3 linked regions of the Rattus norvegicus genome follow. The protein of the gene in region 2 interacts with the protein of the main gene of each other region in a pairwise test. Links are inferred from orthologs where the notes say so. Each region holds a gene or a part of one and is shown on either strand. Other genes may lie near its edges. The genes, in order: Kifc3, Prkaa2 and Ccnb1ip1.

Region 1 (10,680 bases), on a different chromosome or scaffold from region 2:
AAGAACACCTCAGCCCAAGGGCCAGGTGGGGGAGAGGGCCCACCCTCCCTGCAAGGGCTACATTCCCACGCCCTTGGCCTACCACCAGGCAGAGTGCCATCCCTGCCCTTCCAGAGAAGCCCCATGCTTGGGTGCCCAGAGCCACACAGAGACTCGCTTCCTTCTGAACATGTTTCTTATCTCTGAGGAAGAGCAGGACGGGAGAGCCTCCATCTCCTGGATTCATGGTGGGTGTTACAGCAGGTAGCCAGGCCAGAGGGCCCACCCAGGTCCAGGCCTGGCATCGAGGCACATCTTCACACAGGCACTGGCCTCAACTTCCCTGAAAAAGTAGAAAAGGAGTGCTCAGCCTCTTGTCTCAGGAGGCAGCCCATAGCAGATGCAGAGCAGGGGGCCAGCGAAGCACAGCGGGCAGGCAGCGGAAGACAAGGCTGGCCAATATGCTAAGCCCTGACAGAGCCCTGCAACCAACAGCGGGCAGCCCCAGGCCGCTGACCCCCACTTACCTGGAGACTGCAGCCCCAGCTGTCAGGCTGAAATCAAAGTGATAGCCGTCTCACTTGGGGAGGGGTGCTTGGCCCAGCTGCCACCGCCCACTTTGGACCCAGTGAGGGGCCAGGCCCCCAAGTGAGGAGGCAGGAATCTCAGGTCACAGCCCTGTGGTGAGGCCCCCTTTTCTATTGGGGTTGTCTGGGCTGCTTTGTGGGTAGAATCAGGTATCACCAAGGCGAGGGCCCCTATATACACAGTGTGGGCCTCAAGTCAGTAGCACATGGTAGGAGCTTCTAGGGCCAAGTCCTTTGTCACCCTTTCCAGGGATTAGTAAAACAGTTCTGCTTTCCGACTCCTGCCGGGGCAGGCAAGGGAAGGAGACTAAACTCCCATATGCTCAGCAAGCAGCTTCCCTTTGTAGGGTGCAGTCTCACTCTATAATGTTCACTGGCCTGAAATTCACTGTGTAAACCATGCTCGCCCAGAACTCGCCCCTTCTGCCTCTGCCTTCCAAATGCTAGGGGCACACGGCACAAACTATCGTGCCCAACTACCTCTTTTCTCAGACTGTTTGGAGACTGTATCGACCAGGCTGTCCTCAGACTTGAATCCTCTTGTGTCAGTCTCCCGAGTAGTTGAGATTATAGGTTGAAGCCGCCAGGCCTGGCTCAAGGCTGTTTCCTCCCTTTCTAAGACAGCATATCCTTAGCTAGGAAAGGATGGCCTGGCCCCTCCCATCCAGTCTGCTCCTAGACAGGCTTACCTGACGGCTGCAGTTTCCTTCGGATGGATCCCGGGCGGCTACTGGTCCCAGAGCCAGGGGCAGAGTGGGCTCGTGCTGTAGGCTGTGGTGTCTGGCAAGCTGGCTCCCACTGTGAGCAGAGATGGCAGTGGGGGTGGAAGCTGAGGCTGCCCTGGCTCACTGTCTCTCGACACTGCGCTTCCCTTCTTCCCTGACAGTGCTTGCTCATCTACAGAGGGACTAATAACACTACACCTCGAGAAGTCACAGGGCAGGAGTTAAAGATTATCTACAACTTAACGTGCATCTACCATGGGCAACTGCTGGCCCCTGAGACAAAGGTGGCCAAAGGGGTCACGAGTAGTGCCATACAGCCTTAATCTCAGCCGTCAGATCTACTGGGTTTGAGGCTAGCCTGGTCTCCAAAGCAAGTTCCAGGCCACTCAGTGCTACCTAGTGAGACCCTGTCTCAAGAAAACAAAAGCACCACTGAGCTCTAGTCTCACCCACCTTCGGGTAGCTTCCCTTCTCACTACACCAGCCTGCCTGCCCCTTCCCTTACTCAGTACCAGCCTCCCCTCCCCTTCCTCCCCTCTCCCATGCAGTACCTCTAGATGCTCCTGGCTTGACCAGGAACCTAGCTCTGTACGGCGGGACCCAGGGCCCAGCTCCACAGAGCGAACCCTCTCAGCAAACTTGAGGGAGTACAGAGTCTCACTGGTGTTTTTCTCCACTGGGGACACCTAGGGGACAGAGAGCTCAGGTCCAACCCTTGGCAACTGGCTGCCCCCTTGGGCTACAGGGGGTAGCAAGCAGCATGGTCCCCGAGGGTGCTTGTGGTCAGGGGAGACCACTGTGGGCAGTGAAAATGGGCAGGGACCTGTGTACTACATGAGGGTGTTGGGGAGGTCTATGTGGGGATTGGGGAAGGCAAACGGCCTGGGGAAGCCCTTCCTGAACCCCAAGCCCTCACCTGTACCACCATGAGGGTCTTGCTGTCACCACTGAGTGAGTCCTGCAGCAGGTAGGTGAGTTTGGAATTACGGAAGGGCACATGGCCCTGTCGAGAACGCAGGGCAGCGATGACGTCCCCCAGGGCAGACAGTGACCTGTTGATGTGCTGTGCCTCTCGCAGGCGGTTGCCTTCAGCCCCCGACTTCCCTACACGCTCGGAGCCAGCCAGGTCCACCAGGTTCAGCTTCCCTGCAGGCAGGGCAAAGGGGCAGGTCAGCACTGCCCCAAGGATACCAATGCCTGGAGGGGTTGACCAGAATGCCCACCGTGTGTCTCTCACCCGTGGTGCGGAGGCCTGTGCTGCAGTCCACGCCTCTCACCGTCACAATGAGCAGAGCATGGGAGCGTGAGCTGTGTTCATTCAGGTTGGTGAACTCGGTGGTGCGGTTGTTGTAGCCAAACTCAAACACCTGGGGGCAAAGACAGTGGGGCTCCCTTGGGAAGGGCAATGCCACCCTTGTGTTTGATCTGGACACTCAAGTCTTTTTGAGGTTTTTTTTTTGTTGTTATTGCTTGGTTTTAGGCAGAGGCAAGGTCATACTGTATACACCAAGCTGCCCTCCAGCTAGCTCAGAGCTCTGCCTGCTTTTGCCTCTCAGACACTGGGATAAAGGGCTGTAGGGCATCACTTCTTGCTTGCTATATTTAATTTTTTGTTTTGTTTTGAGATCAAGTCTCACTCTGTAGCCTTGTCTGGCCTGGAACGTCTAGGTAGAGCGGATGGATCTCACAGACCCACCTGTGTCTGCTTGTGTGCTGACACTAAAGCTGTGCACCCAGCCCTGTTTTTGAGACAGGGTCTTGCTAGGCAGTCAAACTGGTTTCAGATTTACAACCCTCCTGACTCAGCTTTACTCAGCCTTACAGGGTGCTCCTAAGTCTGCCTTTCCTCTCAGATGAGGAAACAAGGCTTGGACTTACCCAAGCTGCATAGTTGGGTGGTGGCAAAGGCCACCCTGGAGCCCAGTTGTGTCCACTGGAGCAGCTAGGGGTGGGCAGGGCCTCCCGTACTCCCCCAGGACTCCTTACCTTGTTGATATCATCCACGCTCTGCACCTGGAACTCAGTCAGCCCTGGCACATACAGCTGGCCGCTGCCATCTGGACACAGTCGGATCTCCAACTTCTCCTGAGGCTCTTTCCCCAGCAGGTCCCTGGAGCAGCAAGGGAGACATTACTTCTCCCCTCCTGCTCTGACCCAGTCCCTAGCCTGGGATCTGCCCATGCACCAATCTTGGACCACAGGGCTGCTGACCTCTTCTCTCCATCCACCTCCCCTGCACTCAGAAAAGAGGAAACGGACTTCCACAGAAGTCTGAGGACTGTGCAGCCTAACTGGACGGGGGGCCCCATCCCTACCAAGTACAGTGCAGCACACAACAGGGAAAGGAGTCCCAGGTAAGGAAAGAGGACTTACCTCCTAAATTTGGGCAGATCTTCCTAGCCTCATCTAGAACTTAGACTTGGAGACCAGAAAGCCCCCTACCAGCACTGCAGAGCTCTGGCCCAGGCCCACCTGAGGACTTCGTTGTAGATCTCAGCTGCACTGACGGTGATGTTGTACTGCCAGTCGGACGCCTTCTCCTGCACCTCTGAGAAGAGCAGTTGCAGGGCCCGCTGATTAATGCCTGGGTTCTCGGGGGTGCCCTGTTGGCAAAAGTAAAGGCCAAGTGGCCCCACAGATGCTCACACATGTTACCCTATGCCCTCAGGTACATACACCCCTACAGGCGAGCCTCTTCTGCTGTCTGTCCTCAGATTACCCTCTGCTAGGTATAAGCACGTTTCCCTACCTTGAAGGTAGCATTTCCCTGCCAGGAAGTTAGTGAGCATGAAAGGGGTGAAGAGCCTGACAGACTATCCCTGCGGAGCACCAGGGTTATGATCTACTGGGCCTCCTGGAAGGGGCAGCTGAAATGAACAGAGCCACCCACTGCCCACTGGGAGGCTCCCAGTCAGGGAGCCAGGCTCTCTGGGTGAAATGCTTGAGGCTGGATGAAATGACCACCTTTCAGAAGGAATCGAGCCCACCTGAGTGGACCGTAGCCACCTCCCCTCTGCTCTGTAGGCACTTCCCTCATCCCATCCGTGTTAGATCTGTGTCAAGGACGCTGGCTGCCGGGCACACTCCAAAGCCCTGCAGGTCTGCCTGTCGAAAGTTCTACAGCAGCTCCCTCAGGTACCCCATCCCTGCTGGAGCGTCACTTCTACTCTGGCTGTCCCTGGCACCTGCGGGGAACCTGCTGATTTACTGTGCTCACTGCCACTCCAACAGTCAGGTGGGACCCTTGCAGGCTCTTCTGTCATTGCAGGTCTCTCGGGCCTCAGCAGAGAGCCCAGGACAGAGCTGAGTACTCTGGAGCCACTGTGCCCACCCCCTTCCATCCCATCTGTGTCCTGCTAACCAGAACCGAGTATGTGAGTTAGGGGTGGGGGGTCTGGGATGGTTACAAGAGGTGTCCAGTGGCCTGACCAGCAGGAAGTGACAAGCTCTTGTGCAAACTTCTCTCCCTAATCCTATGTGGGGGAGTCCACACCAGTCTCTAGTGAATCAGGAAACTACTAACAAAGCAATATGCCACAGGGCTAGTCTCCTCTCCGTCAGACTCTTCAGCTCTGCGCTAGGAGGGGAGACGGAGGCCTGAGGATTGCACAGCCCTCACTTTAATCCAAGCACTCAGGAGGCAGAGGCAGGTGGATCAAAGGTCAGCCTGGCCAACACAGTGAGTTCCAGGACAGCCAGGGCTACATAGAGACCATGTCTCAAAACAACAGCAAAACAAAATTCTACTCAAGTAGAAGGATTCTCAGGCTATCGGGATGAGTGGAATGGCATCAGCCCCCAGGGAGGCCTTGAGCCATGGGACGGAGAGACTGCCTACCTACATGACTATAGTTGTGGGAGGCTGGGCTCTCCGAGAAGGGCCTTATCCCAGGCGTGTGCCCAGAGCCAGCCTTAAGCATAGTCTGAGGCAGCCACAGCAAAGCACGGGGAATATATGCAAGGTCTCGGATGGCCTGTCCCCATATCAAGCCTATGGAGCAGGCTCCTGGGAAGAGCTTATTGTTTGTAGGCTTGGTCTCTTGGAGCCAATGCAGGAACAGCAGTGCAGGGGGTTATGAGACTAAGACAGAGCATACACTTAGGCCCCTAAGTCCCGCCCCACTGGGCAGACACCTACCTCCATTGTATACGTCTTGCCGGCGCCTGTCTGGCCATAAGCAAAGATGCAGACATTGAAGCCATCGATGCAGGAGGTGATGAGGGCCTGCACCTCCTGGAACACCTGGGGAGACATGGGCTGGGGAGCATGTGGGGCCCCACAGCTCCAGCATCAGCCGCCTCCCAGCCAGCCCTTCATCCACGAGAGCACAGGGGCTGGGACCTGTTCCCAGCTCGTCCATTCCCAGGGAAGGACCAACCAAACCAAGGCTGAGGATATATGTGCCTGACACATTCTGACGTAGGTCTAAAGGACAGAGCAGACGTGAGCTCTTCCGAAGCAGAGAGGAGTGTGAAGTTGTGACTCCCCCAGCCTTGGCACTGAGCAGTCAGCGACAGTGGAAGGTTCTAGAACGTTCCATGGAACTGTTACAGGAAAGAAACTCAGAACAGGGGAGGCCAATCTCCAGGCCTACTGGCAGATGAGTGAGGTCTTGGGGTGGGAGGGGCCATGGAGTGGGTAGGCTAAGGTCCCTGGGTAAGGCAGGCTCTGTGTGGCTCTCCGTCCCTAAGGCCTCTGACTATACCTTCCCACCTTCTTCTTTCTTCCAGGTAGAAAAATGACCCACAATCCTACACTTAGGTTGTTTTTTTCCCCCACCTAGCCTTGACCCCTGTCCTGTGTCTGTCCTTTCCTCTGTTGCTTCTTCCGTGTCCCCACAAATACCCTGTTCGTGGAGCCACACTCACATCCTGCTGGGACGCCCACGGGGAGAAGACCTTGTCCAGCTCGAAGGACACAGGCTTGCCCTTGTGCAGCAGGTGGATGATGGAGTCATCATCAGGGTCAAAGGTCACAGCATTGGTTGCCTCAGGTCCTTCCCCATCCTCCTTGGTGACTGGCCGGACTCGGGCAATCACCCGGATGTTTCCTAGATTGGGTGACGGAGACGTGGGGGGGATCAATGCCAGACTGCAATTCCAGGCAAACTAGTGGCCCAGGAGCCCCATCTTTTATGCAGAGACCAGGGAGCAACACAGTATCCGTCACTCAGAACACTGTGTGAATTCACTTACTATAGTTTCTTCCTGAGCAAAGTCAGGATGCTTTGACCTGTGGCCAAACAATACAGTCAATCTTGGAAACACTCTCTGTGGACCTCATCTAGCAGAGATGTTTGGACTCCATGAACCAAGGGATTTATTCTATTAATCTAAAGGGGCATGGGCAATGCTAAGCAGGACTTGGGTACTGGACGGACAAAAAGGACAGCTATATGTGTGCTCCCAGCCCTGGTGACAGGACACACCTGGTGATGGTCACTGTCCCTTCTCTCAGCCACCGTGAACTTGGCAAGGGCTGTGGTATGGGGACACAGTTACTTCCCCAGTGTCTGCAACAGTAGCTGGCACACAGCAGGTGCTCCCTGGGGCTCAGGGCAGGGATCAGTGACCCCCAAACCTGGAACAAGTGCTACCATTGCACAGTGCCCTACCACATCCCCCAGGGTGGGCAGAACCTACCATGGGCAAGGAGCTTGGAAGATGATCAAGTTCAAATCTGGGGTGGACCATACACTAGGTGTGTGTCTTTAAGCAAGTTTCCTGACTTTTCTGTGCCTTGGCGGTGGCGGCGGCGGCAGCAGCAAGTACAGCTCTGACGCACATTTGAAGACACTCACCCTTCAGCCGCACCAGCTCGTTATGGCACTTCTTGCGCAGCTGCAGCTCCCGGCGGTACTTGCGCAGCAGCTCCTGGTTGTTGCTGTTGACCTCCTCAATGGCCTGGCCAATCTGGGGAGCAGGCACAGCGCCTTCAGACGCCTGCTGTTGGCCTCCCTTCACTGGCCGCTGGGGTCGCTACCCTCACCAGCCCGGGCTCGTACCTGATAGCAGACAACCTTTCCCCATAATCCCTCTGAGGAGGTATAGCCAGTGCCCTCACTTTATAGATGGAGAAAAAGAGCTCTAGACTAAGACTGAGCGAAGACTCGGGACTGAGGACCTGGCTACAGCATGACCCAGCTTCTCTCAAATCTAACCTTTCCCGAGCAGCTAAGCACAAGAAGACATTCCATCGGTTCTCTCCATGGGTGAGAGGGACGGAGAGACATTAACCCAAGATTGAGGATGCTCAAATATGACCTGGGTTCTTCACAACATCTGTGTATCACCGACATAATTCTTTAAAGAACTATTTTCTTTTCCCAAAATATATCCGTCTCTGCAGAGCTGTCAAGTGAACCTGAGAAGCCAGTGGCTATGAAAGGCTCGGTCACACGGGAGACACTTAGGAGTCACTGGCTAGGTCTCACACAGTGTGATGGTTTTAAAAAACAAAATGAGCACAAGGATAAAGTTCTGGGGTAGAGCTTCTGCCTAGCGGGTGTGAGGCCCTGGGTGCAATCCCTAGCACGTCAAGTACATAAACAGAGCAAGCCAGGGATGGTGGCGAGGCTGAGGCAGGAAAATACGAACGGACGTCAGCCTGCTCGAAAAGCCCTGTCTCAAATAAACAACCCTGGTAGATAGATACAGGGGTACGGCAGCACAGACGGAGCTCATGAGAGGACAGTGTGTGCATGTGCGTTTGTGCCTTGTGGGAGTAAGGCAAGAGGGGCCTCTGAATAAAGGTGACTGCCGCTCCCGGCTAACTCCCACTGGGCTCCCTCACTCACCTCAGCTTTGACACTCCGGAGAGCCTCCTGCAGCAGCAGGGGGAAGCCCCGCACCTGGCGCTTGAGCCCATTGTAGTCGTTGGTGAGGGTCCTCAGCGCAGGCTGCAGCGTCAGCAGGTTGGTCCTGACACCTAATGGGGCAGGGTGTTAAGGCATCTGCGGGTGAGGCAGGGGCGTGGGGGCGGGCGGGGCCAGCTTCCAGCTCACCTGCCAGGTTCTCGTGTACAGCCTTCATCTCCACCTGGGCCCGCGCAAAGGCCTCCTCAATGGCCCGGTTCTTATCTTCCTCCAAGGACTGCATCTCCTCCAGCATCTGCCCGTGCGCCCGCTCCAGCTCTGCCTCATACATGGCAATCTGATGGCCAGGCCAGGCCAGGAAAAGGTGCAGTGACGGGGCAGGGGCAGGGATGAGGAAGGGAGGGGCAAGAGCGGGAAGAAGGCATGAACGGAAGTGTTATGGCTGGTGGTGTAGAGGATGGAGTGGCCTGCTTTCCCCCGCAGGGCTGTGAGTCTGTACAGCCATCACCCCCCTGTATTAGCCCCAGTTCCCACTGGTCTGTACACATAGATGGCAGCCCACATGCCCCCAAGGTACACAGGCTCAGCAGATTGGAAAGAGCAGGGGCGGGACAAACTGAGCACAGCACTGGGTGGCCAGGGACAGCCCCTCCAGATCATTTTCCTGTGTTCCCCGTGGCCAGGGAGAAAGAGAAACTGAACCCCAAGTCTGGGGGGGTCCCCACTACAGCCGTCTTGGCCTGCACACCTGAGCCCGCAGCTGTATTGTCAGCTGATGCGAGTTCTGCAGCTGCTGCTCCATCTCCTTAAGCACCTGCCTCTGCATGGCCACTTGCTCCTGCAGGTGCTGGTTCCGGGTCTGGGACTCGCTGAGGGCCTGCTTGGTCTTGGACGACTCTACCTCCACTGTCTTGATGACATACTGCAAAGAGAGGGAAGGACAGGGCGGATCACTGTCAGAGGCAGCTGACCCACAAGTGCCAGCCCAATGACAGCTGCTGCTAACACCTCTAGGAACTGAAAGGCTCTGCTTCTGCAGACTGCTGCAGGGCCTTCTGGTGTCTTGTGAAGGGGAGCCTGCTGGAAGCCTGACAGCCCGGGCTGGGCACAGACTGAAGAGGGACATCGACAACAGCAGGTACACCTTTCAGGGACAAGCCCTGCCCTGAGCCCAAGAGTCCTTCAGGGCGGTGCAGCCTCTCTGGCCACTCACCTTAACAGGTGGGGACTGGGCCTTCAGACTGGCGATGGTCTCGTGGCTGTCACGCAGGCGCCGGCTGAGTCGCTCCTCTTCCTGTGCTTTCTCAGCCAGGCAGTCCTTGAGCCGCAGCTCTACCTCTGCCAGCCGGTCGGTTTTCTGCTGCACCTCCAGGTTCAGCTCCGACAGCATGCCCTTGTTCTCGGCCACTTCCAGCTGCAGCTGGGATAACCTGTCCCGGAGCTGGGTGCTCTCCTGCGGGTGGTCAAGGCAGCCGGGTGGGAACAGGGTCATCTCAAGCTGAGCCCACAGGCCTAGGGTGGAGGCTGCCTTCCAGCCTACCTGGCTGTGCTCGCAACCCTGGCAGGGCACCACCGGCTGTGCCCGAAGCTCCTGAAGCTCCGCCTCACAGCGCCTCAGCTCTTGCCTCAGCTGCTCATTCTCCACCATCAGTCTGTCCCGGTGCTTTTCCACGTCGGTGCCCCCCTGTGGAGAGCCGCCGGGGCCCAGAGGAGGCATAAGCAAGGCCGTACCAAGAGATGAGAACGGAGGAAAAGAGACAGCAGGAAAGAAAGGGGAAGGCAGGCAAAGCAAGAGGCCAGGGCTCAGAGAGACGTCAAAAGAAAGGCAGGAAAGGAGGCCAGCAAAGCTCGCTCCCTCCTGCCCCGGCCCCTCTCAGTCTATTTTCCTTCGTGTGAAAGTCACACAAAGTCAAATTTATGCACAGACTTCACACTCCTTCTTGACGGCAGCCAATGAGATCCAGCCCCCTGCTCTGTGGTGTGAAGTGACACGTGTGAGACAAGACGGCCTAAGCCAGGGTAGGGCATGGGCACTCAGAGACAGCCACATCCGGAGGTGGAAGAGTGACCACGGCTTGGCACCCACCCCTCCCCTCAAGAAGGTCCTGGGGTCCTCACCAGTTCTGATCGCAGTCGGCTCACTTCCTGGGCCTGGCTAATGAGCTTTTCCTTTAGATTCTCCACCTGTAGGCACAAAGCCAGGTCCTTACCCCACCAGTCCTCACTCAGGCCTCTTGCCCAGCTCCAGTCAATAGCCAGCATGGCTTCTGATCCAGGACCTCAAGTTTCCCTATGTTCAAGCACCAGGCTACGCTGGGAACTCTGGTAAGCTAGCCTGTTCCCAGTTGCCTTCAGTGCCCTCTCCCTGCCAGTCATGGCTCTGCAGGAAGGCCCGGAGAGGTGCTCTAGAAATTCAGGACACCGCACTAGCACAGGCCCCTCTGAAGCCCTGGGTCTGCCTCTTTTTTTCTTCCCTTGAGACAAAGTTTCTCTGAGAAGTCCTGGCTGTCCTGGAGCTCGATCTGTAGACCAGGCTGGCCTCAAACTCAGAGATCTGCCTGCTTCTGCTTCCTG
Region 2 (10,780 bases):
CTATATCAAATATTTGATCCTACCCACCCCACCCCGGAACTCACTAAGTAGACCAGGCTGGCCTTGAACTCACAGATATCCCCCATCTCTTTAAATGATAACTCTAAGCTCAAAAACCCTAAAACCTTTTATATTTTAAAGACACAACTAAGAAAATGAGAAATCAGACAAATCGGTTGATGAAGTGCTTGCCTAGCATGTGTACCAGCCTCATAAACGGGCATGGTGGTGCATGCCTGTAATCCTATCATTTGGGAAGTAGAGACAGGAGGATCAGAAACTCTAAGCCAGGCTTGGCAGTGTATTGACTTTGATGCCATTCTGGGATACATAAGATTCTATAATGAAAGAGAGGGAGATGGTGGGGAGGTGGAGAGAGGGAGTCCAACAAAGCAAGAATTTTGTTTGGAATATATATATATATATATATATTTTTTTTGGTTCTTTTTTTCGGAGCTGGGGACCAAACCCAGGGCCTTGCACTTCCTAGGCAAGCGCTCTACCACTGAGCTAAATCCCCAACCCCAGGAATATATATATTCAGCAAGGAATTTGTAGCAAAAATTTATTTCAAGAAATCCTGTTAACTCAGCTTAAAAGTTGATGAGCAACTTGTTTTAGCCTATCTTCTACTGATATACTGCATATTTGAGAGCAGGTAATTTATTAAGTAAGGCAGTTTATTTGGGCCAGTGGCGACAGAGGTTGGGAAGTCTCCGAGCATGGTGCCAGCATCTACTCAGCTTCTGGGAACCACTCCATGGTGCTGGCTCTCATAGCAGGAAAAAAGCAGGACTAGCAAGTGCATGGGAAAGCCACAAACCACAAAGGACGAACTAGCTTTATAACAATAGTTTATCTATCCCACTGTTACTTACACACTGAAGAAAGGCAACGATTCCACTAAAGACCAAGATGACGCAGAAAAGTTCCAGCATCTTTCAAGTGGTATGGGAATCAAATCCAAGATAAGTTGTCATACAGCGCAAACCCTATTCAAGACATTCATTGTACACCTCAACTAAACACAAGCACATAGCCAGGTGGGTTGAACGCCTTTAATCTCAGCACTCAGAAGGCAGAGTTCTAAGAGTTGTAAGCCAGCCTGGTCTACATAGCAAGTTCTAGGACAGTCATATCTACATGGTGGCACCTTATCTCAAAAATCAAAACAACAAATATATATATACACATATGTATATATTTATGTACATATGTATATATTTATATTTAAGAAAATATATATATGTGTATGATTGAATAAATGAAATGATGGCCAATAGTAAAACACTGTCACTACTAAAATGCAAGGTCAAAACTCCATGCCCAGTGGAATAAATGTAACAAGTCAAATAATAACCACTGTTGATAAAGAAATGGAGGGAAATGTCGGTGGGATATAAGACGGTACGACCATTTTGGAAAACAATTTGCCAGCATCTCAAAAGACAAAACGATGCTAGGAACCAGCAACCCCACTGCTAAGTAACCATCCGAGGTGTGAAAAGATGTGTGTCTGCAGTGGTGAGGTTTGGATACGAGTAGTCCTCGAAATGCTGTGTGTTCAAGAGTCAGTCTCGAGTTAGTGAAGCAGACTGGACCCCACCCTCAGCAAGGGACTAATCCCTGCCATGTTCATAGCACCATCGATGGCCATACTGGGTGGCAGTAGAGAGTAGGAGGTGAGCCAATCTTTAATGAGGTAAGCTTCTTTGCTTCACGTATTTCCTACCACAGTGTTCTGCCTCATTACAACACAGAACAAAATGATCAAGTAACTGCTGGGATAATATTATTGTGCACTGTGTAAGGATTGTCTTTTATTGCTCAAATGCTGAGTTCTGTGCCAGGAGAGCACTGATTGCAAACCGGACTTTGATACTGTTATTCGTACAGATACATCAAACTTTGTAAACACTCCCTCTCTCACCTTCTGATTGGTTTAATAAAAAAAGCTGACGGCCTATAGTGAGGCAGGAGAGGATGGACAGGACTTTGGAGAGAGATAGAACTCGGGAAGGAGAGTCCAGGAGAGTCCAGCTGGAGAGAATTCTCCAGCCAGATGCTGAGGAAGACATGGGACTAGAGACTGAGACATGGTAACAAGACACAAGGCAGAATTTAGGTAAAAATAAATGGGCTAATTTACAGGCTAGATGGGAATAAGCCTACACTATAAGCCCTTAAGCATTCATAATAAATATGTCTCCATGTTGTTACTCAGGAGCTGTTGGTCCCAAAGAAAGTCCCATTGCAAGTAACCACAGACATAAACCTCTTAAACATGGCTGAACTATATATGTCTTCTCTTTGAGTTAGTTTCCCAAGTATTCTCTCGGGGAAACAACACACATCCACACGCAGGCCTTTGCGTGTGAATATTCATGGAGGCGCTCTTTGTAATAGCCTGTATAGCAAGACAATGTCCAGCAGCTAAGAAGCATGGGGGGAGGGGGAGCATACAACAGCTCAAGCAACAATAAAAAGGAAAAAAATCAGTGATAGATATGAACTCAAGAACAAAATGCTAGACATAGAGACACCATGCTCCACAACCCCTTCATCTTTTTCCAGAAAAGACAGTCCTTATACATATTCGGCGTAAATGGCTGTATCCGAGGGTTGTGGGTGGGAATGGGATTAACTACATTTAAAATAAAGGATAAGATAAATTTTCTCCAGCTAAGCTACATGGATGGCTGTGGTACTTGGTAAACTTGGTACTTGGTACTAAAAACTGTTGACCTGTATACTTAAAATCAGTAACTTCTATAATATGTTTTATAATACCTCAATACACATTTTTAAAACTACACATGCCTTGCATAGGGGAGGAGCTCAAGAAGGCCCACTCTCAGATGAGAAACTACCTACACAGTTCACAGTTGTTTATGGGGTTGGGGGCAAGGGGTCTAGTTTTCTTCAGAGATGTGACCCCTAGTGGATTGGCCCCGTACCCATGCACATATCTGCACCACTATATACATATGTGACATTGGGATGGAGATTTGGTGGGAGGGCATGAAAGGAGTTGGAGGGGGAGAGAGAGCGCACTAATTAAAGCACATTGTATGAAACTGTCAAATAATAGATTAAAACGTATTCTTATAATGCGTGTGCTCTGTTTCACCAGTCCCTTGACTTAACTACTTAACAACTACGGCCGTACTGATTACAAACCCATACGACCTAGTTTAATTTCTGTCATAAAATGCCCTGACTAAAAGTTACTTAGGAAAGAAAGGGTTTATTTTCTCTCAGATCTCCAGGCTACAGACCTTTTGAGGGAAACGGAGGCAGGAAGTTGAAGCAGTCACATCCTCAGTCACCAGCAGAGAGAGAGACAGAGAGAGACAGAGAGAGACAGAGAGAGACAGAGAGAGAGACAGAGACAGAGAGACAGAGAAAGAGGGAGAGAGACAGAGGGAGAGAGACAGAGGGAGAGAGGGAGAGAGACAGAGAGACAGAGACAGAGACAGAGAGAGAAAGAGACAGAGGGAGAGACAGAGACAGAGAGAGAAAGAGACAGAGAGAGAGACAGAGGGAGAGACAGAGACAGAGACAGAGACAGAGAGAGAGAGAGAGAGAGAGAGAGAGAGAGAGAGAGAGAACACATGCATGGATGTTTGCTCATGCTCAGCCATCCCTCTATACTTACACAGTACAGGACCCAATCTCAGGGAACAGTGCTGCCCAGAATTTTTTTTTGGGGGGGGGGGGCTTCCCACTTTAACATGTGCACGAGCTAATTAGATCTAAGTAACTCTTCATTCAGATTCCCTTCCTAGCTAAGTCTTCTTTGTGTGCATTTGACATAAATAGTAACTATCACACCATACAGTGTTTCTTTAGGGAAGATCAAACAACATCAGGAAAACCCCCAAACAGCTCATTCCACCAGGGTTCTCCAAGAAAAAGATTTTTCTCGTAAATCAAAGGTCCCTTCAGTTCCATTTATACTTTAGGAAGCTGGTGGTTTAGAAGCAAAGAATATAACCAAATAGTTTTAAATTATCCCGTGACAATGGTTTGAGGAATCAGAGTTGGTATTGCACTCTACACCGAGAGTACAATAAATTTTTTTTCAAAAGCAAACAAAAGCATTTAGCAGAACATGAAAGCATAAACGGCTAAGTTATATAACTTACCCTAAATGGCAAAGCAGCCGTTTGCATAACTTTGTACTGCCAATCCAGCAAAGCAGTTCTCAGCAAAGATGGTGTCAACATCACCCATCAAATCTCTGGACCATCTCACGACTATCCACAGTTCTTACAAGATCCCGATTTCATAAGACTTCAAATAACTTTACGAACATTTTAGGTCTTTACAAAAATACCCACTTGGTGAGACCATGTGTGACCACCTTAATATAATCTGCCTAACTAAAGTCCCCATCCTTTCTTCCCCTAGTTGCCTTTCTCAGTAGGAGGGAGCATACATTTTTCACGTGTATTCTGATTGCATTTCCCTCTCGGAAAAGTCCCAAGAAAGCTCAGGTTTTGCTTTCCTAGAACTCTGTTGCCTGGAACAGTAACTCGCATGTGGTAAGAGCATTCAATAAGCAGTGTTTCTCATTGTACAAATGGGTATTAGATAGACCGAGAGGAGTTAATCCTCGCAGGAATGATGAGTCCCTGCCTTCTATTCAAGTCTTCACTGGAGGTTAAAATGTGAAAAATATGCCTTAGCATAAAATTCCCAGACTGCTTACCCACTATTTATTCAACAAAAAAAGCTAACGTTTCACTTTTAATTCTCAACTCGCTACCAAGTATCTTCTTAACAAGAGCTGGTAATCAAACCAAACCCATGTGACTCTTATTAACTAATAAGAAAACAAAGCAAAGTTTAATACTTAACTAGTAAGTGGAGTTGAAATTTCAAAAGCAACCTGTTTTTTTTTCCCCCCAAAACCCACAATTTGCCATCAAACAAACGCCTTGCCTAAGCAAGTCTGACATCTTGGGGACCCAAATTCCATTACCAAGGAACATTTTTCCCAGACCCTGACCCCAGAAGTCTTCCTAGAACCAATTTACACACACCAATCAACCTGCAGAGCTGGGGTTCCCCTAAAGCCTCTGCCCAACCAGCTGCATTCCAGCGTTTTCACACACCCAGCAGAGGGGACTCGCCACCTCTCAGCTCTAGGCATGCCCCTAGTCAACTCCACCATCAAAGGCCTGGGACAGGGAAGAATCTGGGGAAGCCAGGGGCCTTATCGGCAAGGCCAAAATTGGAGGACATTTTAGACCTCACCCTGAATCTGCCAATTCTCTGTGACCTTGGGCGTGCCGCTGAAGCCTCGGAGCTCGCGTTCTCTCACCTTTAAGGTGAGGACCGCACCCTGGCTACGCCACGTAAAGGATTAAGTGAGACCACAGATGCTGCTCCAGGCAGAGCGCTTGGCACCAGTGGGAGACCCACTCCCAATCCGCGGCGCCGTGACTACCCCATCCTCCCCACGCTTCGGGGCCCTTTGGACTGGGCCAGTCGCCCAATTCTGCAGACAAGTGAGCTGACGGGTAGAGAAAAGACAGGGTGCTCGCAGACACCCCCGCCAAGGCACAGCTCAGACCGTGGGTCCCCCTGACCCACGCCCCGGCTGCCGCGCCAGGTGCCTGTGCCCCGGGCTCGCCTGCGAGCGCTCCACCTGCCACCCGGCCCCGCGCCCGCGCCGCTGCACTCACTCTTCACTTTGCCGAAGGTGCCGACGCCCAGGGTGTCCCCCAGCACGTAGTGTCCGATCTTCACACGCCCGTCGTGCTTCTGCTTCTCAGCCATGTTCGGCGCGCGGCCTCCCCGGGCCGCGGGCTCTAAGCGCCGCCGCCGCTGCCGCCGCCGCCACCGCCTACCCACAGTGCAGCGGGCCCGGGGGGCGGGACGGGGACGCCTGGGGCGCGGTAGGGTGAGCGCGGCTCGGCGTGTGTGGACGCGAGCTGGAGGCGCAGAGCCCGAAGCGTCCTGAGGAAAGCCCACGGCGGTGAAGATGGAAGGGATGAGTCTGAGAGCGACCGAGGTGAAAGGAGAATCTGAAGAGAAGTGGGGGTGAGGGGGTGCAGACCATGAGACGTGCCTCAGGACAGCAGGACCAGGCGGGGAGGGCGGCCCTTCCCTAGCCCCTGGCACGCTCCCCCCAGGCAAGGTTTATTTGACTGGGAACGCTCTAGTCCGTACCCTCCTCAGATAGCGACCCCATTGTTTTAGAACTCACGCTTATTTTGTAGTTCCTTGTCACGTTATTGTTAGGTCGAAACCCTGGACAAACTGCCCAAGGAGACGCCTATCATTAACATATCAAAGATGACGCTGGCTGCCAGGTTCTCTCAGCATCCCTCAGTCCCTAACTGGGATAGGGTCCTCCTGCCTGCCATACCTCGACTCCTACCCCGAACTCTCCAGCCCAGGGACTCCAGCCCCTTCCCTCAGGTCCCCTGGTCCCTAGATTATTCAGCCATTTTGGCTGTGCTAATCTCTCAGCCCAGACCACCCACCCCTCTAGGCCTGGCTCCTCTCTTGCTCCCACTCCCCCTCTCTCCTCACATAGCCCTGCTCAGTCTGCCCATGTTCACCCTGGACTCTCCTAAACGTCCCTGCTTCTGCCTGTACGTTCGTTTATCTACAATAAGCCTTCTTCGTTGTGTTAGTTAAGGTTTTTTTTCATTGTGATAAAACACCATAGCCAAAAAACAAGTTGGGGAGGACAGGTATTATTGTTACACTTCCACAGCACTGTTCATCTCTGAAGGAAGTCAGGATGGGAACTCAAACAGTACATGGAACCTGGAGGCAGTCCCGATGCAGAGGCCATGGGGGGTTAGCACCGGGAGGGTGCTGCTTACTGGCTGGCTCATCAGGGCTGGTACAGCCTGGTTTTCTACAGAACCCAGGACCACCAGCCCAAAGATGGCACTACCTACAATGGGCCATTGATCACTAATTAAGAAAATGTCTTACAGCTTACATCTTATGGAGGCATTTTCTCAATTGAGGTTCCCTCCTTTCAAATAACCCTAGCTTGTGTCAATTTGACAAATGACAAACCAGCATATCCACTGTAGCCAGGAGCAATTATGTCCCTCCTTCTATTTCTTTTCTTCATTCAGTTATATAGACAATCGTGTTATAGGGATAAAAGACACCCTCTCCAGGACTCTCGATTCTAACTAATTTAAACAAAATTTCTCAATAAATCACAAACAGAGCCCTAAGTATATTTCAGCACTTGTGTGTGTGTGTGTGTGTGTGTGTGTGTGTGTGTGTGTGTGTGTGTGTGTGTGTGTGTGTGTGACTGGACAAAGGAGAAATACTAATATAGGAAATAATTCACATGTTCAGGTAAATGCAAAACACAGAAGGGATCAAAGAATTGTGGGAAACAAAAATGATGTAAAAGTGCAAATTAAAGAAATGGATTACTGAGGATGAAAGTAAAAAAATAGTAAAGAGAATCCAAAGCATGACCAGAGTATTAACAGTGGGCAAATAATTTATGATCAAGCAATCTCTTCCTCCCTGCCTCCCCCTCCCCCTTCTCTCCTTGCTTTACTTAATGTTGGTCGATCCTTCCATACCTGAAGATTATTTGCTTCCTGTTACAGGAATATGAAACTTCATACCTCCATTACTTCCATAGCAGTTCCCTGAACACATACAAACACTGTACTGGCTAGTATTGTGTGTCAACTTGACACAGGCTGGAGTTATCACAGAAAAGGAGCCTCCATTGAGGAAATGCCTCCATGAGACCCAGCTGTAAGGCATTTTCTCAACTAGTGATCAAGGGGGAGGACCCAGCCCAGGGTGGGTGGTGCTGTCCCTGGACTGCTAGTCTTGGGTTCTATAAGAGAGCAAGCTGAACAAGCCAGGGGAAGCAAGCCAGTAAGTAACATCCCTCCATGGCCTCTGCATCAGCTCCTGCTTCCTGACCTGCTTGAGTTCCAGTCCTGACTTCCTTTGGTAATGAACAGCAATGTGAATGTGTAAGCTGAATAAACCCTTTCCTCCCCCAACTTGTTTCTTGGTCATGATGTTTGTGCAGGAATAGAGACCCTGACTAAGACAAACACATTTCAAAACATTATAAACACTTGCAATTTTTCCCATGAAAAAAGTAATTTAGAAACACAAAGAAAACTGATTATTTGCTGTTTGGTGATTAAATTACTAAAGGTTAGTCAAACAACTGTGACACTGTGCATGCCGATAGAGTTTCATAGTCACATTCCTCAAACATGAAGTCTCAAGTCACGATGTTTGTACGTAAAGAGTGAACCTAGGAAATGGGCATAACAAAATTTCATCTCCTGAGACCTAGTAAACATACAACTGACTGACTCTCTTTTGTGTGTACGCCATGGCGATCTGATGAGAGGTGATCTCAGCGTATAAATTATAGACATCACAGCTGTCGGACACGGGCTATTTTTGTTCGCTCTTCAGATCACCTTTCCTGCTGACAAGACGTCTCACTTACGAATCTCAACCTAGCTGGTAAATTTGAGAAAGCTTCCTGGCTATTTTTAAGGCTGAACTTTTATTTGGTTAAAGACCATTCCCTTGCTAGTCATTCGGATGGGGAATATGAGAAAGCGTTTCTGGTGAGAGTTACATATGTGTGTCTGTGTTGTCCTAATAATCTAATAAATGATGTCGAAGAGTCTTTACATTGTGAAGCTACACCAGGGAAAGCTATCTGCTGAGATCTTAAAGCACGTTGAGCTGCCTGTTCACTGACAATTCAAGTTTCTTTGTTATTCCAGTAACCTTGTGGTCTTATGCTAAACAATACTTTCTTGATTAAGAAGTTCATTTAAACGCAGTTATTTGTCATGAGGGAACATTATTGTCCCCATTTTATAGATGATAAAACTCAGTTTTCCCTCCTTTTTTCCAAGGCTGTGAAGCTAAAGGCAAAGCCGGCCAGACTCAGATCCAGTTCCAAGCTGTCCTCTTCCTTCCATTTCATTATAATGGAATCGCATGACACTCTAGCGAGTTCCAGACCTCCCCAACTCTGCCTCCCAAGTACTCACAAGGCATGCACCGCACCACCCAGTTGTGGACAGGAATTCCAAACAAGGGGGTGACCTATCCTGAATATGGTAGCACCAGGCCATAGACTGAAGCCCAGGTAGAATAAAAGGGGAAAGAAGAAAGCATCAGCAGGCACAGGCGTTCTCTCTGCTTCCTGACAGACATGATATGAGCTGCTGGGCCCTACTGTTACCTCTTCACCATGACCAACTGTGATCTTTGAAACTAAACCTCCTCTTCAGTCATTCTGGCAGGCATCTTGTAACAGCCATGCAAGGCAGTTAAGATTCCCAGGTTAAATATAAGGCATAATTTTACATATCTCAGCATCCCAATCAGAGGTGAGAAAGAAGCATGAGTCAAAAGCAACCACATTTTATAGATTTGTGGTAAGGCATTTTTATTATTCTTCAATTTCAAATAAAAAGAAAATTAAACATTTAGCAGTCATATTGATGGGATCTTGTCTGTAATACAGGTTCAAAATTCACATTGAAAACCCATTCTATGAGAAAATGAGTTTAAAGATGGGCAGAATGTACTTCCAGCCTGGATGGGGCCAGACATGGGAAGATCATGAAGTCCAGGATAGGCTGGGCTACCCATAGCAAGATGCCAAGTAGACCCCATGACTGTTGATAGATACTGTTCACATTTGCCAGCCTAATTCTCTACATTTTCATTATTAGTTTCCTGGGATATTTAATAACAAATAACCAGATAGATTGTCTCATTAGTAAATATCTCATTTCAAAGCTTTAGCATACTAGGAATTTATTTTAGAATAGCTGTACAGTGATTTCTAACAAAATATACACTAAGCTCTTAACAGTGCGGGATATTTTATGTTCAATTTCTCTAAATTGCCTTATGAACATAATTTTACATTTTGTTTATTCTGTACCAGATTCAAAAAGAAAGTCATGACAAGTATTTTGTTTGTACATCTCTCAAGTTTCTTGTCTACAGTGGCTTCCACCTCTTCTTTGAGATGAAATTTGCTTTTTAAAAATTACAGTTATTTTACCTGTCTCATGTGCTAAAACCATGTTAGACATAATTATTTATTTTAATAATTCTTTATGACCATAAGATGTAGCAGAGAAAATATTATGTTTAGAATAAAATAATGTGTTCGAGTTTAGCCACTTGACAGTCTGTTCCTAAGCCATTGTTTCACTATTCATTAGTTAAACTACTGATGTTGGTCTAGACTTTCTGTATAGTACATTTTCATTGTTAAGGAGTTTCACTCCAAAGTCTCACTCCTCATTTTAGAATAGGATTATTAAAAGAATAAGAAGCCAGTCCTGGAAGACCAGACCTGTGTCCTAGCTACTTGGGAGGCCGAGGCAGAAGTTTTATCAGTGCTTGCAAGGATTACAGAATGAGTTTGGGACTAGCCTGAGCAAAAGTACATTCAAAGGAAGCCTGAGAAATTTTACCAAGACCCTACTCTCTCTCTCTCTCTCTCTCTCTCTCTCTCTATATATATATATATATATATATATATATATATATATGATCTAGCTTGGCATAAAGTCATTTGCCTAGTGTATGGAAGGTCCTAGATTCAGTCCTCCGTATGATGAAAATAGATAGATGATAGATACAAACATACATAAACGATAGATGATAGATAGATAGATAGATAGATAGATAGATAGATAGATAGATAGATAGAATAGGATTACTATAAATCTTAGTAATTCACAGTTCAAGGTTTCTCAACAAATGCTTT
Region 3 (10,269 bases), on a different chromosome or scaffold from region 2:
GAACCACTCTACTTTTACTTCATATTCAACCTACTCAGAATTGACTGACCCAAGAAAACCCTGTAATCAGTCTGACTACACTTTGGACTTCCAGGGCAACTCCAGGCTCACCTGAATTCACAGCCTTAACAATGTTCTGTTAGCAAGGCCAGAAAAAAACAATTTTCTCCCCTACAAGATTTGCATAAAAGATTAAGAAAGAAGCTCCTTGGTCCTTTTTGGTTTGTTTAGTTTATTGAGAGAGTGTTTCTCTGTGTAGCCCTGGCTGTCCTGGAACTCACTCTGTAGACCAGGCTGGCCTCGAACTCAGAGGGCTTCGAGCCTTGGCCTCCTGAGTGCATCGCCACTACTTGGGTCATTACTGTATTGCTGTGCAGTTAAATAAAGACGGCCTTTATTCAGCATTTTAATTAAGTGATTAGAACAGTAGAGACTTAAGTCTTCAATTTTCTGTGCACATATCCAGGGATACACATAATTAAAAATAAAAATATATCCATTCCCAAATAAACACATCAACAACTGTTTAAAAGGTAAAGCAGTTTTATTTTAAAACAAATACCAATGAAATCAACAAATAATTTTATCAGTATAAATTTTTTTAAAGATAAACAGAACACATATGCATCAAATTGCACTTCCAGCCACTGGCATAAGCACACCTCCAAAATACATGACTGTAAAGTACATGTTAATTGCAAGCCACCATTTTCTAAGACCATTATTTTGGCCATCATTTTCCAAGACCATAATTTTTACAGAAATATACTGGCAGAAGAATCAATGCACACACTCAACATACACACACTGGAATCCAAAGCGCCATGTAAATACAACATTGGTGGCTACATAAACATAAACACAGCTTGGTCTGAAACACGATCTGTGCAGCAGTGTGACTGTGTGAGCAATGGCAAACTAGAGACTGACATTCATGAAATGCCCGTGCCCTAAGCAAACAGTGAAAAAACCAAACAGGAAGCCACATACCGACTGCAAGCCAACTTCTTCTAAGGCCGACATGTGAAGAGAACCCAGGGATGCAGGAAAACAGTCTTGAAATAAAAAATGAGCTAAATTCTTTTTGCTTTAAAGGCCCTGCTGCAGACTTGCTGCTCTGCTTCATGGCTTTGAGACGCAAAACTAAAGAAGTTGTTAACAGGTTCAGGTGCTGTGGGAGAACACACAAAAAATGGTCTGAACTGAACATCTTCATCTCCACCACCTTGATTTCCAGCTGGTGTATGGTCCAAAGAAAACTTTGAGCTATTCCCTGGGGGAGAAAATTAGGGAAGAAAGTAAGAATAATTCCTAAAAGATCTTTAGGGACAAAACTAACAACCACTGAACAAAAATTAACAAAATTCAACTCCTATAAGATGGATAACATAATTATCTTAAACTCATCTCCTAGACAAAGGCCATGTCACTCAACCCTTCCCTACCACAGAATATACTATTCCCTCTGTGAAAAATCAAAGCAGAGTAAACATCTGACCATTTCTCCCACACCTTCCTTGGCTTTAACAGACTTCAGGAAGAAGAATAGCTGACTCTATCTGTCTAAAGACAGCAGGCTAAGAAAAGGAGAGGCTAAGTGGTGAAGTGTGCCCTTCTAACAGATTGAGGTTTTGTTCCTAGCACACACACAGTGGCTCACGATTATCCAGTTTCAGGATCCAACACCTTCTTCTGTACTCCATAGGAAATGCACATGTGTACACACACACACACACACACACACACATTAAAAATATTCTTAAAAATGTCCAAGAGAGTAAAAAACATGTACAAGGATTAAAAAAAGATATATTCAATGGCCATTTTAAATGACAGAATTGCCATTTATAAATAATGACGTTAGGAAAAGGTTGTGTTTTAGACTGGGTCTCACTCCAGTCCTGAAGCTGCTTTGTAGAGCAGTGGGCAGAGATCTACCTGCCTCTGCCTCCCACTCCACCTAGCCGTGAGACATTCCCTGTCCCAGTCATGGGACATTCTGTCTGCACACTCTTCTCACCTCTCAGTCCCATTCCAGGACATTTTTGTCCCTCTGAATCTTTCTCTCTAGCCTCTAACACCAAAATTTAAGTACTTGGAAAAGTCCACCACGAGACTTTAAGTGTGTATGCCAACTTATACACTGTGCTAATACTGAGGAAAAAAACTGCTGGACACTATTGCACTGGTGCCACCGGGAATGAGCCAACAATCAGCCAACAATCAGCAAAGACCCTGAGTCATCCTAGATGTTGAAGTGCATAGACAACAATAATTATTACATCCTTCTTACTTGGAATCATGACCAAGAGCCTAGCATATAAAATATATTTGATAATTACGTGATAACAGATTAAACAAGCAAATGGATCAAAAGGCAGAAATAAGAACTGCTCAGTCCAAGACAGCAAGGTGGCTCAGCGTGTTACTATGCAGAGATTAACTCTGTTCAAACTGAAAATAATTCCAGCTAGGCATGGTGGTGCACTCCTTAAGTCCAAGAATTCAAGAGGCAGGCAGATCTGTGAGTTTGAGGCCAGCCTGATCAACATAGTGAATTCTAGGACAGGCAGGATTATGCAGAGATCCTGTCTCAAAAAAAATAAATAAATAAAAATAAAAATAACTTAAACGTATGCACTCCACCTGAGAGCAACAGTGTACGGAGTAAGACAAGGACCCCACAGCTCACCTTACTCCTGTCCATCACTCTCAGTCTTCTGAATGTGGGGAATGACACAGCACAACGTGAGATTCCCTCTTACCTGATGGGAAGCCAAAGACTCCAGACTGTGGGATCATAGCTGGTTCCAGGGAGCCCTCCTGGCTAGCGATAGTGATATTCCTTAGCCTGAGGCTATCATAAAGGCCTTGGAGCTTTTGGTATTGGCGGTTGCGCTCCATCAGTTTCTCAGAGATATCACTAAACTTCTTCTTGTATTCCTCCAGAACTTTCTTCATGGAGGTAACCTCCCCTTTCATAGAGGTCAATTCTACGTCCTTGCTCTGTATTTGCTGCGTGTATATCTTCTCCATCTGTTTTAAGTGGTTCTCAGCCTTGCTGAAATTGTATTCTTGATAGAGACGTTCCTGGTGCACCTGTCCAAGTAGATAAGAATCAGCACAACATTATAGACTCCGAATGCTCATCCACGCAGAAGTGGAAAGAACGCTTACACAGGGGCATCACTGTTACAATATTTATAACGGTCACAACATACAATGAGTGGGCTACAGAAAAAGGGCTGCTCAGAAAACTAGGCCACCAAAGCAAGCATGTCTTATCCACAAGGGACACACAGCCTGAAAGTTAAGCTTTAAAGAGAGCAGAAAAGTTAGCTGTGAAAGTTTATGTATGATTCTCAGCAGACAAGAAATACAGGCAGGAGGATCAAACTCAAGGCCACCTGGGCCACGTGGCACAAAAACCAAGGAAAAAAATTCATATTTACAGGATACATGGATGATGTCCAATTTTCCCAACGACCCAGAGTAAAATAAGACCTCAAGATATTGTTGCTTCCTAAAATTTACACATGTGTGACCCCATGTTGGGCAGAACGTGTAACTAGAACATAGCAAACCAAGTAGTACAACCACTTTGGAAAACAGTTTGGCATGGCTAACATATATACAACCCTGGGCCTGATTCTTAGCACCACAAAAAAAAAACCCTCTAGCTAAAGTAGCTGGAATACAGCATAAACAATAAAACAGAAGCACAAGCTCAGTTGTTGGAGATTAGTCTGGTGCCGCTATGTAAGAAAACGCTAAATTCTATACCCCTCGATATAGATATTCGTCTGGCTGCCCTAAGACGAATGAAATCTCTCATACGCCAGCCTTTGTTGTGAAAACCTTGCTCCCCAAGTCAATAAAAGGTCAATAAAAGGCCTGTGACTGGGCAGTAGAGAGAGATAGGCAGGACTTCCTAGGAGGGAGACAGGAACTTTGGGAAGAAAAGAAAAGGAAACTTTTCACCAGGAGACGGGAGAGGAGACATGTGACTAAGAGCCTGGACGGTGCAGCTTGCCACATGACTGGGTGGGATTAGGTGGTTAATTAAATCTACTCAGCTAAGGCCTAAGCTTTGAAATATTAAAAGGTCTCTGTGTGGTTACTTGGAGAACTAGCTGGATAAGGAATAACTGCTGCCGTATTAATTTCCAGCATTAGTAATTTTTTTTTTTTTTAGATTTATTTCATGTATGTCAGTATACTGTAGCTGTCTTCAGACACACCAGAAGAGGGCATCAGATCTCCATTACAGATGGTTGTGAGCCACCATGTGGTTACTGGGAATTGAACTCAGGACCTCTGGAAGAGCAGTCAGTGCTCTTAACCACTGAGCCATCTCTCCAGCCCCAGCATTAGTAATATTAATAATCACTTTTCAGAGTTTATTCACAAAATATAAAAACAAGTATCTACTTAGCACATGACAAATACTTAATATAAACAAAGTTTTCTATGCATTCACGTATTTATATGAAATATAAGTATAATGAAGGGGCTTTTTTCCTAGGAAATCCCTCAGAGGGTAGTTAGGGATTGAGGTCGGTGGGAAAGCACTACCTTTTAAGCACAAGCCCCCGGGTTTGATACCTCACACCAAGAGAAACGCAGATCCTCGGTAAGCTTCAAATGACACTTCAGTGTATGTTTGTCTGTGTGCATGTGTGCTTGTGCTTGTGCAGGGTGATGTTGCCTATCAGGTCTTCCTCACAGGAGAGCCTAGCTCTCGCCCTCACACTTACACAAGCACTTTACGAACTGAGGCACCCCCCCATCCCCTGGGCACTAACCTGGTACGTCCAGAAGGCCAATGCTCGGGAGCTAATGTCCAAAACAACCTCGGGTCGAAGCCCTGCCAATACCATAGCTTTGTACTCCTCTGACGGACTGAGCTCTGTCCGGACAATGTCTAGCTTTCCAGAAAGGGTGCTGTTGCAAGCAGGGCAGATTGCTGGTGAATGACTGAACTCACCACTGCCATGCTGATCACAGAAGATGTGAGAGCAGGCCGTGACCCAAGCATAGCCAGAGAGCTTGATACGACACTTCCGATAATTGCACAGCAACATGTCTTCACACAAAGACATGACGAGTGTCCCAAAGAATCCTAACAAGGAACAAGAAGGTTAGTGAGCCAAATTATAGTGAATATGAAACTTTACTAAAGTGCTATTTTTAAAAAACTGGACATTGTTTTAATGAACGTATATACAGCCTCAATGCCTTCTCATTCCAAGGTCATGAAGAAAGTCATATATATAGATAATTACAACTCCTTTAAAAAAAAAAAGATTTATTATATATGAGTACACTGTAGCTGTCTTCAGGAGACCAGAAGAGGGCATCTGATCCCATTACAGATGGTTGTGAGCCGCCATGTAGTTGCTGGGATTTGAACTCAGGACCTCTGGAAGAGCAGTCAGTGCTCTTAACCACTGAGCCATCTCTCCAGCCCTCCAACTCTTACCAATGTCAAAAACATTATGCACATGCAAATGTTTAGAAACATCACACAGCAAAAAGAAACAAAAATAAAATCTGTCCCTTGTGGCATTTTTCGAACACCAAAACATACAGCATTCTACTAATGACCAGGAATGGTGGTACCAGGTCATAGAGTACCTGAGAGGCAGAAACAGACAGAGTTTTTAAAGCTCGAGGTCAAGCCATTCTACACAGTGAGTTCAGGCCAGTTAGGGCTAGTACACCTCCTACTTGGTAAACATGGGACTGCACATAGCTGCAGGAACTTCTCAGTAAAAAAAAAAATCTAAGTGGTATTTTTAGGTTATTTTATACATCTTGATTTCTCATATCCCTTAACCAAACTGCCTTGACTTTAAAAGACTAGCTGCCTGATAAAATTAGATATGAGGCTAATTTACCTGTTATGAAGCTTGGAAAGTCTACATTGAAATGCCTGTTTATATTTTTAGTTAAATAATACACCTATTAACATTGCTATGGTTTGATTTAAAATGTTTCCACAAATTCTCTTAGTCTAAAGTTATTTTTCAATAATGTTCACCATAGAAAGCAGCAGCTTTAACAAGTCATATATTGTATAAGTGGTGTATCAATTATATACAAAGACAAAGCAAGCACATTCAACATACTTAGTACTAAGGTCTCCTTAGTAGTGTGATTAATGGGCCACACCTCTAATCCCAACACTCAGAAGACAGACTTTGTTCCAGGTCACCCTAGGCTTCGAGGCCAGCCTCAGCTACACACCAAGATGCTGTCTCAAAAGCAAACCAATGTTACCTGAGTAACAGGGGCAATGGATACGCTGACACCTTCATCTCAAATGTCACACCTGTACTGCGGACCGACTGACAGACCGACAGCCTGAGAAGTCTCTCGAACCTGCCAGCCTGAGAAGTCTCTCGAACCTGCGGCAACTATGGGCTACAATGAGACCCTGTCCTCAGATTTACCGACACCCTTGCTGCGTTTCCTGAAACAATTCACATGAGAAGAGGCCAATTTTACTTTACCTCCAGTAGGGTAAAGCGCACTTCCTAGCTGAGGTCAAAGTGCAGCCTCCACATTGCCACAAGGCAGCCGGGGAGGTCACACAAGATGACGGCAGGCCAAGATTTTCAGAACATGACCCCACAGTTTTCTCTTAATCTCCTGACTTCCCCCACCTCACACACAGAAAAGCAAATACCTGTAGCAAGACAAGCTAAAAGGTGTCGGCCTTCCACTGAAGACAGGATTCGCGTGGCTGAGCTGTCAGAGCGCATGCGTGGTGCCCGCAAGGCCTGATGGGTAGCACGAGGCGAGCTGCTGGGCAGCACCAGGCACTCACTGCTGAGGTAATCGGATGCCTGTTTTTACTGGTCAATCTACAGTTAATGAAATAACTTATTTTAAGTCTGTCTGCACTGGTTATTAACAAGGCGCTTGATAGGAAGTTATAGGTGGTGGTGGCAGCACCTTCAATCCCTGCTTAGGCAAGCGATTTCCGTGAGTCGAGAGCTACAGAGTTCTAGGACAGCTAAGGTTAATAGAGACCTGGTATAAAAAAAAAAAAAAAGAAAAGAAAAGAAAAGAAAAGAAAAGAAAAGAAAAGAAAATTAAGACTTATCTTTAGCCAGGCACATAATGGCGCGATTTCTTTAACCCCAGCCCTGGGTTCTGCTCTTCCAGAGATCCTGAGTTCAATTCCCAGCTACCACATGGTGACTCACAACTATCTGTAATGGGATCCAATGCCCTCTTCTGGTGTGTCTGAAGACAGCAAGTGTACTCATATACAATAAAACATTAAAAAAAAAAAAAAAAAAAGCTGATCGAGTTCCAGGCTAGGCCAGGAAATACAGTGAGACCCTTTCCCAAAGTTACATGTTTGTGTTTCCACATGGATGTCCCACTGTTGAGGTAAGCCCTCCAATTCCAGGAGTCTTAACTTTGAGGCATCTTTGCTAGTAAAGTGACAAACTTAAGATTTATGTATATGTGTAAATATATAAAATATATATATTTATGTCTGTGTGTAAATCTGCACATCAGAAGAGGGCATAGGATCCATGAAACTATTATAAACTGTTATGAACCACCAAGTGGGTGCTGGGAATTGAACTCAGGACCTCTGGAAGAGCAGCAGTCAGTGCTCTTAACTGCTGAGCCACCTCTCCAGCTCCTAAACACTGCTGTAACTCTGCCCTTCTGAGCTTACCTGTAGCAACAGTGGTTTTTTCCACTGTTAAAATTAAGCTGAGAAGAGGATTAGAAGAAGGTAGCTAGGATGCAAACTAATGCCACTTTCTTGCAGCCACCTTCAAAGGACATGAACTTGTTGTGAATGAATTAACAGCCACACAAAGGTCACCATGTTTCCCAATATTAAACCTCTTTCCCTTTTCTCCCAGGCTTCATGTCTCCTACACTGGTGTGTAACAATGACCTTGAACTTCTGAACTTACTAAATGCTGGGATCAAGGGAGTGTTTGCTGGAGATAGAACCTGTTTTTCATGCATTTTAAACAAAGCTACAGCCATTGGAAACCATATTCCTTCAGTCCACTCAATTGGTTCTAACATTTGTATGCCCCTAGCAACTTAAATCCTACTGGTACCAGTTATGTCAGTAGTTTATAGGAAGAAAATAACAGATGAGAATTTAAACCACCAACAACTATAGCTGGCTTTATTCAAAGAGAGATTTAGCATCTCTAGTTCTAAACAGGCCATCATAATGATGACACAGGACAGTCACTCAGCAGCCAGCCCTCAAGAAAATGCAGACTACATGCTTCATGGTGGGATTCTTTAGCTAAGGATAGGGACTGGAGAAGTTGTTTTCCTTAGGCAGGCTGGTTTTGAAACAGCAGGGTACAGGATATTTAATATATATCATATTTAATATGGGCTTGAGGTCAGGTGCTTTACTTCTACCTTAACTTAGGACAGCAGTGTTTCTTTAAGTAGGTTCATGAGTAAACCATAACTTGAGTTTTTTCTGGTTAACTGTCCCAGACACATAAAGAATACAAACACAGTACAACCTCATTAAGTGTCAAAGAGCATAAACAATGGACAGCAACATGTGGAACTGTCAGGGTTTACTGTGTTCCTGATCACCCGACTTGCAAGTTGATTCTGTGACACTATTCTGGGGAGTCGGCTCTCACCTTCGAGTACACCCCACCCACACATTGAAATTTATTATTAATTGAGCCCAGTGAGCACACCCCTCTAATCCCAACACTCAGGAAGCAGAAGCAGGCAGATCTGGGAGTTCCAGGCCAGCCTGGTATACAGTGAGTTCAAGGATAACTGGGACTGTTAAGGATAACCATGCCTCTGGGGGGAGGGGGGGAATAGAAAAGAAATTCATTACTTGGGATGGCTCAATGGTTAGGGCTATTGACTTTTTTTTTTTTTTTTTCAGAAGACCTGGGTTTGATTTCCAACACCCACACAGCATCTCAAAACTGCCTGTCACTCCAGTTCTAGGGACTCTGACACCCCCTTCTGCTCTCAAGCACCAAATGAATAAATGGTTAAGACTCGAGCAAAAACACTCAAAACACATTAAATTTTTAAAATTTTATTAATCAACAAATCATTTAAAACAGAAACATGAATGTTCCAATAACTCCCAAGGTCAACCACTGTGAAATACTAGTATAATGAAAAAATTCTCTATATCTATGCACACTTCCTGAGGAGACAAGCCAGTTTTTTTATGACAGATAAAATCTTAGCTAGGCTCAACAGTAACAGTCTACTTCCAACATAGGGAAGCTTTTAGAAGCTAAGACTGACGGGGATCAAGCCCATGAAACAGAAAAGACCATTGCCTTATGAAATCTTGGTTAGTGCCAAACCAAGATTAGTCTGCTGAAAAAATGATATATGCTCAGTTATATGGGCATCTACAGTATATTCTCATTCCATACCGTGCCTAATTTTAGAACTAAACTCTGGGAGCCAATGGTAATGGCCCTGATGAGTAGGCCACTTGGCAGACACAGAACTTAACATACATAGAGGTGTTTTGCCTATGTCTGCACACCATGTCTGCAGTGTATACATTAAGCCAGATGACGGGAGCAAATCCCCTGACACTAGAGCTGACTACAGAAGGTTGTGAGTCTCCATGGAAAAGCCAACCACTCTTACACACCACCACCTCTCTAGCCCTGAGATCAGAGTTTCTAGGTAGTATAGAATAATTACCCTTCAAGTCTTATACTGTCATTCCCATCTAAGATAAAATGATTAGAAAACGTGCCAAGGTTAAAACTTGTGAAGTGATACACAAGCCACTCTAACTAGAAGCCTACTATGTATACTGCATATAACCACTATACTATACCACCTTCCAAGATCGCTGGCTTTTTAAACACTAAAATTCAAGCACCTGGCCACAAACTACAAAACATAATTCTCCGTGATTCTTGTATATGTCAAACACCTCTGAATCTCAAGACTTACCATTAAACCATGCGATCATTTTTTTCATACAACTGGTTTATAGCATGAAGGTCCAGACAGGAAATGTGATGCTGTCAACCTGGTGTTCTCTCCTGACTGTTGAACATTTGTACTTCTTGGGTTTTACCCCTCATTTCTGGAAGGAAGAGAGGAAGCTGTTCATAAGCTGTGTGTGCTTCCAGATTCCTTCTACAAACATGTATAAAAAGTGTGAAGGAATTATGTATGGTTCATAACCTGTTTGGCAAGCAAACCCATTTAATAAATAAAAACTCATAGAACAGAATAATGGTAAGCCAAGTA

What was found.
Region 1: the proteins of Prkaa2 (region 2) and Kifc3 interact in binary tests that used the Homo sapiens proteins (3 or more experiments, as listed by UniProt). The two-hybrid records come from large-scale screens. The link is inferred for Rattus norvegicus from reciprocal best matches to the Homo sapiens genes PRKAA2 and KIFC3.
Region 3: the proteins of Prkaa2 (region 2) and Ccnb1ip1 interact in binary tests that used the Homo sapiens proteins (3 or more experiments, as listed by UniProt). The two-hybrid records come from large-scale screens. The link is inferred for Rattus norvegicus from reciprocal best matches to the Homo sapiens genes PRKAA2 and CCNB1IP1.

Annotation. Positions count from the first base shown.
Region 1 is NC_086037.1:9,915,407-9,926,086, reverse strand, and holds part of Kifc3 (kinesin-like protein KIFC3), read right to left. Parts: intron 10,291-10,680; coding exon 10,225-10,290; intron 9,791-10,224; coding exon 9,647-9,790; intron 9,560-9,646; coding exon 9,320-9,559; intron 9,029-9,319; coding exon 8,855-9,028; intron 8,444-8,854; coding exon 8,296-8,443; intron 8,220-8,295; coding exon 8,089-8,219; intron 7,205-8,088; coding exon 7,093-7,204; intron 6,343-7,092; coding exon 6,161-6,342; intron 5,535-6,160; coding exon 5,430-5,534; intron 3,895-5,429; coding exon 3,764-3,894; intron 3,402-3,763; coding exon 3,278-3,401; intron 2,659-3,277; coding exon 2,529-2,658; intron 2,438-2,528; coding exon 2,208-2,437; intron 1,978-2,207; coding exon 1,843-1,977; intron 1,365-1,842; coding exon 1,256-1,364; intron 1,182-1,255; coding exon of another isoform or gene 1,047-1,181; intron 534-1,046; coding exon of another isoform or gene 529-533; exon of another isoform or gene 507-528; intron 323-506; coding exon 297-322; 3' UTR 1-296. UniProt on the Homo sapiens protein: Minus-end microtubule-dependent motor protein. Involved in apically targeted transport. Required for zonula adherens maintenance.
Region 2 is NC_086023.1:125,102,531-125,113,310, forward strand, and holds the start of Prkaa2 (5'-AMP-activated protein kinase catalytic subunit alpha-2), read right to left. Parts: upstream 6,481-10,780; 5' UTR 6,218-6,480; intron 6,036-6,217; 5' UTR 5,788-6,035; coding exon 5,694-5,787; intron 5,618-5,693; exon of another isoform or gene 4,149-5,617; intron 1-4,148. UniProt on the Homo sapiens protein: Catalytic subunit of AMP-activated protein kinase (AMPK), an energy sensor protein kinase that plays a key role in regulating cellular energy metabolism.
Region 3 is NC_086033.1:26,487,937-26,498,205, forward strand, and holds the end of Ccnb1ip1 (E3 ubiquitin-protein ligase CCNB1IP1), read right to left. Parts: intron 10,103-10,269; 5' UTR 9,970-10,102; coding exon of another isoform or gene 9,967-9,969; exon of another isoform or gene 6,768-9,966; coding exon of another isoform or gene 6,692-6,767; intron 6,684-6,691; exon of another isoform or gene 6,283-6,683; intron 5,123-6,282; coding exon of another isoform or gene 5,103-5,122; coding exon 4,806-5,102; intron 3,100-4,805; coding exon 2,766-3,099; intron 1,274-2,765; coding exon 1,074-1,273; 3' UTR 526-1,073; downstream 1-525. UniProt on the Homo sapiens protein: Ubiquitin E3 ligase that acts as a limiting factor for crossing-over during meiosis: required during zygonema to limit the colocalization of RNF212 with MutS-gamma-associated recombination sites and thereby establish early differentiation of crossover and non-crossover sites.